Linked DNA regions of Caenorhabditis elegans. The protein of the gene in region 1 purifies or fractionates together with the protein of each later gene. This does not show direct contact. Each region holds a gene or a part of one and is shown in the gene's direction. Other genes may lie near its edges. The genes, in order: spat-3, ZK1053.4 and clec-59.

Evidence for each region.
Region 2: the proteins of spat-3 (region 1) and ZK1053.4 fractionate together in Caenorhabditis elegans (co-fractionation; one large-scale study listed by BioGRID). This does not show direct contact.
Region 3: the proteins of spat-3 (region 1) and clec-59 fractionate together in Caenorhabditis elegans (co-fractionation; one large-scale study listed by BioGRID). This does not show direct contact.

What each region holds. Positions count from the first base shown.
Region 1 is NC_003284.9:4,604,258-4,608,014, reverse strand, and holds the start of spat-3 (E3 ubiquitin-protein ligase RING2 homolog spat-3), read left to right. Parts: upstream 1-2,086; 5' UTR 2,087-2,118; coding exon 2,119-2,172; intron 2,173-2,361; coding exon 2,362-2,712; intron 2,713-2,759; coding exon 2,760-2,882; intron 2,883-2,931; coding exon 2,932-3,757.
Region 2 is NC_003279.8:13,239,569-13,243,325, forward strand, and holds the start of ZK1053.4 (SET domain-containing protein), read left to right. Parts: upstream 1-2,086; 5' UTR 2,087-2,100; coding exon 2,101-2,250; intron 2,251-2,299; coding exon 2,300-2,422; intron 2,423-2,470; coding exon 2,471-2,599; intron 2,600-2,645; coding exon 2,646-2,907; intron 2,908-3,542; coding exon 3,543-3,757. Other genes in the region: ZK1053.6 (SLC41A/MgtE integral membrane domain-containing protein), read left to right, coding at 1-109, 165-380, 432-859, 994-1,158.
Region 3 is NC_003280.10:10,477,623-10,481,379, reverse strand, and holds clec-59 (VWFA domain-containing protein), read left to right. Parts: upstream 1-1,931; coding exon 1,932-1,971; intron 1,972-2,018; coding exon 2,019-2,137; intron 2,138-2,185; coding exon 2,186-2,299; intron 2,300-2,344; coding exon 2,345-2,544; intron 2,545-2,591; coding exon 2,592-2,788; intron 2,789-2,837; coding exon 2,838-3,358; 3' UTR 3,359-3,376; downstream 3,377-3,757. Other genes in the region: clec-60 (VWFA domain-containing protein), read left to right, coding at 1-49, 211-410, 458-660, 708-1,228; ZK666.4 (Pepsin-I3 domain-containing protein), read right to left, coding at 3,687-3,757.

The sequences.
Region 1 (3,757 bases):
TCTGTTACGATGGCAGTCGTATAAAAAAGATACATTTTGATAGAATATCATTTCATTAACACAAAAATAAAGTTTTGATCTACATTTAGTGATCTGTCCGCGTATATTTGTATTTCACCGTAGCCTCTTCTTGTGTGAATTGTCTTTCTCAGAAGGACTGATTTTACTTGTTTTTTTCCTTTTTAAATTTTTCTCGTTTCCTCGTAGTTTTCGAATTATTAAAATGAAAATTTCCTATCAAGGGAGTAGAAGAATGGGATTCTACAGTTTGACATGACATAGTTATTTTTCCGTAAAACAGTGCGACTAATTTTCACTCCAAAATATTGAGCTGTTGCGGAGCCAGTTCAACAAAGTTATGACGTTTCATTTTTCTAAAATAAATTCCGATACTAATTTCTACAGAAATCCACTATCTCACCATACAAATCAGAAATTTTCCTCTCTTCGTGACTTTTCGTAACGTGACACCAACCAAATTGGAAATCGCCCTCAGTGGTCTAGTGGGGAGTGGGCGCGTCTGCCAAAAAAAAAGACCATGGTTCGATTCCTTCGATCTTATATTTATTTTTTCCCAGTGAAGGACGTTTTATAAGATGGATATCAATCACACTTTAACATTTTTAAAGTGATTGGTACACTTAGGTGCATTGCTGAATTTTCAAAAATTCTTACTTTTTGCGTATGTTCTACCATTTCTTAAATTTTTGAAGTTTCACAACAAAAACTTTCTAATATTCAAGTATTGTTTTTTGGCGTAGCTTTTTTGAGATATATCTATCGAAGCTTCACCAACTTGTGGCATTTCAAGTAACGTGTGAACATTATTTTTTGTAAACACTTTGTTTTTGATACAATTAATTTTTGAACACTAAAAAATTATAAAATTCGTATAAAATACGTTTTTTTTCTAATTCTCAAAATGAAAGTGGTGAAAACTGAGAAATGACTTTTTTTGAAATTGAAATGATTTTTTGAATTCAAACTAAAAATTAGAATTTCTGGAAAATTTTACTATGATTACTATTGTTCGGTTAATTTAGAAATGTAGGAGTGTTTTCTAACAATTTTCCAACTCCACCTTTTACGATTTTTCAATTAAATTTTAGAACCAAAGAGTAAATAATTTATATTCCAAAAACGAAAAACTTGGAAAGTTGCCAGCACATTTTTGTATTGGTCTACACTCGTATCTTATCATTCGTGTCACTTATCACCAGGCACTTCAATCTCCGCTAATCAAAAGATGCGAAGCCAACTGGTGTCCAACATCGCGTTCACCATTTCATTTTGGCACAGCGCGTTTGGTGGGGTGGCCTAGAAAACGAAATCGACTCTGTAAAGAAAGATGGGCCACACACACACACACACACACACACACACACACACACACACACACACACACACACACACACACACACACACACACACACACACACACACACACACACACACACACACACACACACACACACACACACACACACACACACACACACACACACAACCCGCTGCCCTCTCCATTTTCCCGCTCTCCCCCCTCCTCGGCGCTCAAACCGCACACAGACACAGTGCCTCTTCCCTCCACTCTCTCACATTCGCTCACTCTTCACACAGCCTCCGCTCTCCCAGCCAGTAATGTCCAGTTGCCTAGCTTGGACATTAATGGTTACTCTCTGCAAATTTTTTTTGGTCATTTATGTAGTTCTGAAGTAATTATCTCACGTTTTAAGTCGCAATCTTTAAAAAAATAGAAAAAGAGGAAGGTTATGTTCATATATAATTTTTATTTCTCGATATTTGCCTCGAAAAATGTTTATTTTTGCTTCGAAGTCCTAAAATGTTGTTTTCTTTAGTTTTTTTTTAAGTTTTTGTTTAGTACAAAACATTTGGGAAAAGGTTGACCTTGCCCAAGATTTCATTGCACTTTCTCCTTCCGCCTCTTGAACATCAAATATTTTCCTATCCGTATGTTTTGTTAATGCGATCTTCGACAAAATTATGCAAATACAAATGTCGCCTACTCTCTTTTCTTACAATATTCTTTTATTTTTTGGTATCCACTTAACGTAAACTCTTGTTGCAGGTGTGAGTCATTCGCACAACACGAACTCAAAAATGGATGATTCTCCTGGACCGAGCACAAGTAAAAGTGCAAGAGATAAGGCTGAGGTTGGATTTTAGAATGTTTTTTGTTTCAAATACTAATTTCCTTTAAACGATAAAAATAAGCAAATAATAAAATGAATAGATTAACTACAAAGATTTTTTTTCTGATTTTGAAAACTGGATTTTTTTGAACTGAACTCAAAAAAAGTATTTGGAAAAAATAAAATTGTTCTCTAATTTTCCATTTCTCAGAACGCCGAAGAAAACACATCGGATTCTTCAAGTGATTCCGAGGTTTCATCAGCTTCAGAAAAAAGCGAAGAGTCCAGACCGTCGAGTGAAAAGAAAAAAGTGATTACCAGAGTTATTCCCGTCCGCCCACCCACTAGAGACAAAGGTCATCGTGTGAATCTCCTTGAATCGGGTAATGAAAGTGAGACGAAAAGCCTGTACCAACGAGCGAAGGAAGGAATACCTTCGTACAAGGGTAAACCGGAGATTAAACTCCCAACCACGAGTGAGCAGTATTACGATCTCGAGGAAGTGCTCATGAACCCAGCGAGAATGGAAGGCCGCGAACTTACACTCAATGCATACGATGCGGTTAGTGAAACACATTTTCTTTTTTAATTTTGAAAACTGGTTTTCAGGTCCGCAATAAATACAATGTTCTGCCTGGGAAGAGTGTATGTGAAGCTGATTTGCAAAAAGTAATTGGAAGTTTTTCCTGTGATGTTTGCCAAGAACTTATACAAGGATCTATTATGACAAAGGTGTTTTTTAATAACTATAGTTGATGAAAAATTAATAATTTAATTCCAGAAATGCGGTCATCGATTCTGTGACCAGTGTATTCTTGTGGCGTTTATGCGATCTGGAAACACATGTCCGACGTGTCGTCAGAACCTGGGATCCAAAAGAGAACTACAACAAGATCCTCGTTTTGATCAACTGATTTATCAGGTCGTTGAGAGCCGCTCCATTGTTGGTCGCATGATGGCTGAAAATCGAGAGCACGAAAAAGACGTCTACTTTGGAAGAAAAGGTTACATTGAGGGAGGAAGTGATTGGAATAAACGCTACGGAATCGATCCAAACTCAAAACTCAAAGCTCCTCGTCCACTGAAATCTGCTGGTAGAAAAAAAATTCGCTGGTTTCACGAGAGTGATGAAGATGGCTCTGTAAGAAAAGTCATGGAATCAAAGAAAGGTGCTCCGAAAGAGGATGATACAAATTATCTAGAAAATGACAAAGAGGGAACCTCGGTAGCTGCAGAAAAGGAGGTATTGGAAGAAGGTGAAATGGATTTCCCAATTGAGATTAAGTCGAGTGATGAGGAACAAACTGATCTTGATGATGAAGAAGAGAGCATGTTGGACTCTGACTTTGAGATTTCTGATAATGAAGACGTGTCCAAGCCGTCGTGTTCCACAAGTAAAAAGACAACGAATAGAAGTCGTGACTCCAGTGAAAGTGATAACGATTCTCGAGATAACGAATTGCAAAAGAAGAAGAGAAAGATGAAAAGAAAGAACGTGCCAAAAACGGATGGATCAGATGTTTCGAATGAAAGTTTCGATGAGGATGCTAGTGGTGAAGTGGTTGCCACGAAACTAATCAAAGAAAGCAAAAAGAAGCCTTGTGGAC
Region 2 (3,757 bases), on another chromosome or scaffold:
TCAATCCACAATGACACCTACCACTACCTAGACAACAAGGAAACTGCACTGTTCCTGACGGGATCATCAATTCTCTCGGTTGCACTGAACTGCGCGATCTGTACAACATGTAAGTCTCAATGTCTTAACTTTGAAAATTTTTTATAATATAAAAATTGTTTCAGTCCTCTTCACAATAGTCTACTGTGCTTGGAAGAATGATTACAATCCTGACAACATTGTAGCTCCACTGGGCGCTAGTATCAGTGACATGCTCACAATCGGCTCGATGCTCTTTTTCTGCTATCTTCTTCGTCCATATTCGGGGTTTTCAAGTTCGGTGCCGGTGGTGATTGTTGTGGTGGCAGCGTGTAGCATACCTCTATGGATTATGATAGCATGTAAGTCTCTTTGTCAACTTTTTTGATTTTCGAAAATCTTAAATTTTCCAGGGAACGACGAAGATGCTCTGCGCATTGCCAAGCAACAGTGCTTCACTCTGGCGTTTGCAGCGATGGTCAGCTGTGGTGCGGGTCTACTTCAAAGTAAAGGTGCGATGACCTACCCAAACTACCCAGCATATCAAACACTCATCTCTGGACTCGCTGGAAATCGAGGAGCCGTCCTTGCATCAAGGATATCATCACATCTAGAAGTACACAAGACATCAGACCTGGGATGGAGGCAACGTGCATCGCCAATTAGTTACTACAGATCTGCGAGCTCAGAGTCTAGAACTGCGAGGCTTCTGTTGTTCACGGCGTTACCGTTTCAAATGTTCTTTGTCGGGCTCTCGACTGCAATGTCATTTGTGATTGATGAGCCGGTGGAGACGGATTTCCGGTTTTTCATTGCATATGCACTAGTAGTTTTGATTCAAGTAAGTTGATCGTACTGATGTTACCCCCTGTGTAGGGTTCCTGCATGGTCATAAGCGTAATGTTGGGTTACTGTAGATCAAGATTTGTAGATCTGTGATCAAGACTTTCCACACAGAACCTCCACTTTTTCCAGCAATCCACAATTCTCTACCTGGCCCAGCTGATAGTCTTCGCCTTCTGGTCATTCGGTATTGATCCGGACAATCATGCAATTCCACTTCTGACCTCTGCTGCAGACGTCTGCGGATGCGGATTACTGTACCTCTTGTTCTTATCGTTGGATAAAGGATTTCGGTAGGGATATCACTTTAATCTCAATTTCATGATCAAACAATCTCAAAAACACTAATTTTCAGATGCGTCAAAGTGGAAAGTTTTTGAGTTCGACCACATATGCCAATTTTTCAATAAATATACAAATAGTAAAGTCGAAGATACAATGTGATTGCTTTTTCCTCATTTAAAAAAATTAGCTATGAATAAATTTGTCTCTAAGGCAATTTTTTTTCTCAATTTTTTAGGAATTTACTTATTGTTCATGGGGGCTCAATTCTGACCACAATTATCAACTCAGATTCTTTTCTCTAAAATTCAAATTTGATGAGAATATTGCATTTTCCCATTCTTTCACTGTACTCTTTAAGTGATACCCCCTAATGTTTTGTCTCCCGGGGAGAATAGGTCATTTATTCATACACAGTAGTGTGCCCAAAAAGACGCAGTGACCTGGCCCCTTGCACATTCTGTACATACAACCTTAATAGATACACTAAGAAAGTACTCTCCTCTGGTGGGGACAGTCACATTTTACTGGTCTGCTCTTTTTTGGTATCAGCATGGAAAAACCCCTGTGTTATCAATTATTTTAGATTTGCCAAAAGTTTTCATTTCAGGCAATGTGCCGATTTGCCGGAAATTTTTATTTTGGGCATATTTCCGATTTGCCGGAAAACCCTTTTGCCGCCCACCCTACTACAAAAAATGTATCTAATAATTTTTAATAATACATTCTCCAACAAGACACATCTTTTGTCTCTCTCGGTCAACATTTAAGATCGATATCTTGGGTTGGCAAAAGTGTAGCGTACACAGAGGACCATTGCGTATTGAACGCGTCCTGACCTCCCAAACAGTCGTTACGTCATCGCACTGTTGCCCTCTCTGTCCACTTTTTAACACGTACTGCAATCTCCTTTGTTTTTAAAATATTCTGTTACAAGTTTTTATTTCAGGTCTTGTAATGCAACCATCTACCGTTCCAACGGAAACTTTGCAAAGTCGCATGTCGGGATTCAATGAAAGACTCAAAAAAGCGACGAATGTAACGGAGCAGGTAGCAGTTATGGAGGATATGAAAAAGGATTCAGAAGTGTACGATTCTTGGTCTAAGGTGAGATTGGAATTTAATTTTTATCACGTTTTTATCTCATTTTTTCCAGCATCGACAAGCTCAGCTGAAATACGCTTACACAAGTTTTCCCACAAAGTTTAGAGAAATGATGGGAGGGTCGAGTATTCGTGAAGAAGAAACAGAGGAAATCGATACACAGAATTCTAGCGAGGTAGGCATACAATAAACTATTCAGTAATGCGAATATTCATATTTTCAGACCGAAGAGCCGTCCATCGCCGATGCTATAGCTAGTCGTCAAGAATTTTTGAACAAACTGGTCGAAACCACGGATCAGTTGATAGATATTACTGTAGACAAATTCATTTCTCAGCTGAAAAATTGTCATGTTCGTTTATTAGACTGTCTAATGCTAACTGAAAAAAAAATTTCAGATTAGAAAGCCCGAAACCCCATCAGAACCAAGCCGCGAGGCTTCTCCCGCTCCAAGACTTTCAAGCCCATTTGAAAGAATTATAGACGAGACTACGGAACTTCTAGCAAAATGTGCATCTTCCGGGCCCCCTGATCATTCACTACGGTCATCAATTCTAGAAACTTTATTCAGCGAAATTAAAGGAAAGTCTTCTGATGTTTCGTTAGTAACAATTTCTGAAGAATCAGAAAAATCAGAAGAATCAGAAGAATCAAAAGAAGGTAATTCAGAATTTTTTGTACAAGCAATTTAAAATGTATAAAACATGTTTGGCTAACTATGGGCAGTGTAAGAAAAAGAATTTCAAAGCCATCAAAAAAAAATTTACGCGGAAATTCAAATTTCAATTTTAGCTCACTTTTTTCTTAGCCCACAAGATTTTTCCAATTCTGGCAAATTGACGTTTGCCGGATATCAGATTTGCCGGAAGTGTTCAGAAGGATTTTTTTATAAGACGGAAACACATCAACCAGTGCCATTTTGAAATTTTTTTCCCGGTTTTCTTTAGATATTTTCCCAAAATTTTTTTACTTTTCAATATAGATGTAGGAACATTTATAGGATGCGTACAATTTTACCGATTGAAATTAAAATTCTGAAATTTCCAAAAAAAACTGTGCAAAACCACAATTCGCCGAAAACAGGCAAATTCAGAAAATCGACAAATTGCCGGTTTACCGATTTGCCGGAAAAAAATCGTTTGCTACCCATCCCTGCTGTGAGTTCAAAACGCGCGGCTAGAGACCATTTTGTATAATTGTGCCTCCCTTCAAAATCGTAGAGGAAGAACATGCATAGTACTACGTATAGTATGTTTCAACAGCTGCATTAATTGACTTCAATAGGTAATTTTCAGATAAAGGCTCTCAATCTCTCAACACATCATCGATCTCAACAGAACCTAGTCCCGTGCAAACATCAATTTTGAAACCTCCTCCAATGTATCCTGAGACTGCAAGTTTCCCTCATCGTAAGATACGATCAGGTGCATACTCACTGTATCCACCTCCACAGCCGAGCCAGCAATTCGTTCATTCTCACAATTTTCACCAACCAAAATTTGATGCATCT
Region 3 (3,757 bases), on another chromosome or scaffold:
AAGAACCACAAGACTTGGATTAGTAACCTACAACAAAGCTGCGGCGATTGTAAGATTTTAATTCAATAGTTTTAAGTCACAATTGTTGCATCAAGAAAAACTACAGTAACTTCTTTCATGAACTGGGAATTATTATGTATTTACAAACTTCCACCAACCATACTCCACGTTATCAGTATCAAAATCTTCGAGACATTAAAAATGTTACAGCAAGCCGATCTTAACCAATACCAATCACTCGATGACGTCTACGATAATGTTTTCCGTGCTCTTTCGTCAGTCAGCACTTCCGAAGAGTCATATCTAGCAAATGGGCTTGCAAGAGCAGAAGATGTACTTGAAGCCGGCAAACAAGGGTACAACCGTACTCATTATCAGAGAGTTGTGATTGTCTATGCATCAGCTTACAAGTATGTTCTTTAGACAGTTTGTGCAACCATTTATTGCTTGTCTTTAGGGGATCCGGAGCCTTGGACCCAGTGCCAGTTGCTGAAAGACTGAAAACTTCTGGAGTGACTGTTATTACTGTGGCATATGATCAAGACGGAGACGGTGCTCTTCTTGCAGATCTGGCAAAGATTGCATCTCCACCATACAACTTCACGAATACCGAAGACAACGGGCAAGTTATTGGAGAGATTCAGGATGCTTTGCTGCAAGGTTTGTTAAAGGAACTTATATTATATAGCAATACAAACTATTTTCAGTGAACTGTTTCTGCCGAAACTCGTGGATTCAATACCGTGTATCTTACACTGATGTTCACTCCTACCGCTACGGTGTCTGCATTCTTCCAGTCGGTTTCAATGCGGTATGGCGCGCTGCCAAATCTTCATGCATGAACCGAAATGCATATCTTGTCACTGAATTCGATTCGAACAAACACGATTATGTCCTGACTGCAGTGAGCAATTACACAGGATTCAGTGTACCTCTAACTTATCACAACGGACTCAGTATGGTCAAAGGTGTCTGGGTATGGGATCAACCACAAGGAATGCCTCAACCACAGCTTCAAAGTTATGCAGGATGGAATCCAGGATATCCCATTTCGGACTCTACTCTCACAGGAGTTCTGAATCAACAATCAAGTGTGCAACTGCAGTCTGGATGGCAGAATATCAAGCCACTGACGACTGGAGCCAATTATGTTTGTGAAACGGCATCTTGCGATACTGATAATTACTGCACCGAAGCTGGACTTGCTGAAATTTCCGTAAAACACTAATATACACGATACATACTTGTTGTTGTATAATAATAAATTCTGATTCTACAGACCGTATTTATTTTATTAGTACTGCTTCTCCCTCTTTGTAATAAAAATTTGGAATCCAGGTGTTTCAAACCAACGAATAAGCGGACTTTTGGTGACTGGATGGCAGAATATTAAACCATTCAATGCAGATGTTTGTGAGACTGCGTCTTGTGATACTGATAATTCAACTCTTAGTTTGTGAAGTTAAATTTCTAACAATCTAGCAAAAACTGAAATAAATTTATTCGGCTTTTCTCAATAAATAATTAACTTTCTTTTTTCTCTTTTCGTTTGCTACAACTTAAAAAATTTTTAGCAACACTGTTCACCAATAATTTTGAAGGAAAAATTACGTTAACCAATTGTTTCACAACAAATGAAATCTCCCGTACTTTTTCAATTAGTACGGCATTTCAAAACATTGCAACTACTTTTCAAAAATAGTAGTACGAAAATAAGTTACCAGTGGTGTTATCAGTTAAATAATTCCTCAATACAACAAAGTTTCATCCGTTGGTTTTTTTTGAAAACAAGAGACAGTAATAAGGTGTGTCTGGGATACTTCAATTCAAACATACACTCTGCATCTTGTGTATTATCATTTTAATGAAACTTCCATGTGTATAAAAGAGAGAATGAATTGAGAAAAATAATCATTCATTTGTTTGCAAAAATGAGTAAAAACATTTGTTTGCTCTTCTTCTTGTTTCATGGTAAGTCTTATTTCAATCAATTACCTGCCAAAATTAGTAACTTTTAGCATACCTTTCTTCGTCCTATACGGATCGCATATGTGGACAAGATTTGAGTAATTTATGGTTGGATGTTGTAGCTGTTGTGGATAACTCTGCTGGAATGACCAAGGGAGGATTGACAAGTGTACGGTAATTCTAATCAAATTATTCTATTGAAAAGAGCATATTTCAGGTCGCTGCAAATATTGCTTCCATATTCAGTAAAAATACACAGATTGGCACTAATCCGACAAGTCCAAAGACTACAAGACTAGCACTAGTGACATACAATGTTGATGCCACAACTGTAAGCGTTTCCCTAAACTGTTGTTCCTCATTAGTATTGTTCCAGGCGGCGGATCTAAACAAGTTCCAATCAATTGATGATATCTATAGTGGAATTAACTCTGCTTTGGCAACAATAAGCTCTTCTGAAGAATCATATCTTGCCAGAGGGCTTTCACAAGCCGAGAAGGTTTTTCAAGCGGGAAAGCATGGATTTAACCGTGCTCATTATCAGAAGGTTGTGATTGTATATGCATCTACATACAAGTGAGTTGCATTTTTTGGAATCCCAACTAAAAACCAAAAAATTTCAGAGGAAGTGGAGACTTGAATCCAGTTCCAGTTGCTCAACGCTTGAAAACCTCTGGAGTTACAATTATCACCGTGGCATATGATCAAAATAAAGACGGAGACATTCTTGTTGATCTCGAGAAAATTGCAACTCCTTATCACAATCTCTCGAATGAAAATTTGAATGTTATCGGAGAAATTCAAGGATTTTTACTTCAAGGTATCTCAAACTGAGTTGATTTTATAAAGAAATAACACGTATTGTTCAGCAAATTGCTTCTGTCCAACTTCTTGGATTCAATACCGTGCTTTGCATGATGACGTGGATTCTTACCGTTACGGAATCTGCATTCTTCCAGTTGGATTGACTGCCGTCTGGCGTGCTGCTCAATTATCATGCCGTAATAGATGGAGAAATTCATATCTTCTCAATGAATATGACAACAGGAAACACAATTTTGTTATATCATCTGTCAAAAACTTCTCTGGTTTCCATTTTCCATTAAGCTATCACATCGGACTGAACAAGGTCAATGGAATGTGGCAGTGGGATCAGCCACAAGATTGGACACAACCACAACTTCAGAACTATGAAATCTGGAATTCAGGATATCCAATATCTGATTCCTCGTTGACAACTGTTTTGAATCGACAGACAACTGTTGATTTGGAAATTGGATGGCAAAACGTTCATCAATTCGCAGCTGCCTCCAACTATGTATGTGAAACTGCTGCTTGTGACACTAATAACTACTGTTCCTCTGGAGGTGATTCCATTTCAAACCATTAGTTTTATATGTAATTTATTATTATTAATGTTGATTTTCTTCATACTATGTACAATTGTTGTCAAACAAATAAATTCAATTCTTTGATTGCTTTTAATTTAATGAATAAAATTGTGAGACAAACTTTAACGATCTTTCAGTTATACTGATTAATTTATTGATTAGGAATTAGAAAGGACAACAATAAAAAACACGGGAAATTTTGCTTTAAGCGGAAAATTACAAAATATTGAACAAGATAAAAGGTAAGAAAAAATAAATAAATGACCGGCAAATGAAAAGTACAGAAAACAAATTGGCACTTGGAGAGTTGTAAGAGTTAATGAGAAATTATTGAAACTTAGAAGTATGAGTAGACTTCTTCTTGATTTCCTTGGCGAGCTTTGGGTTGTAGAATGGAT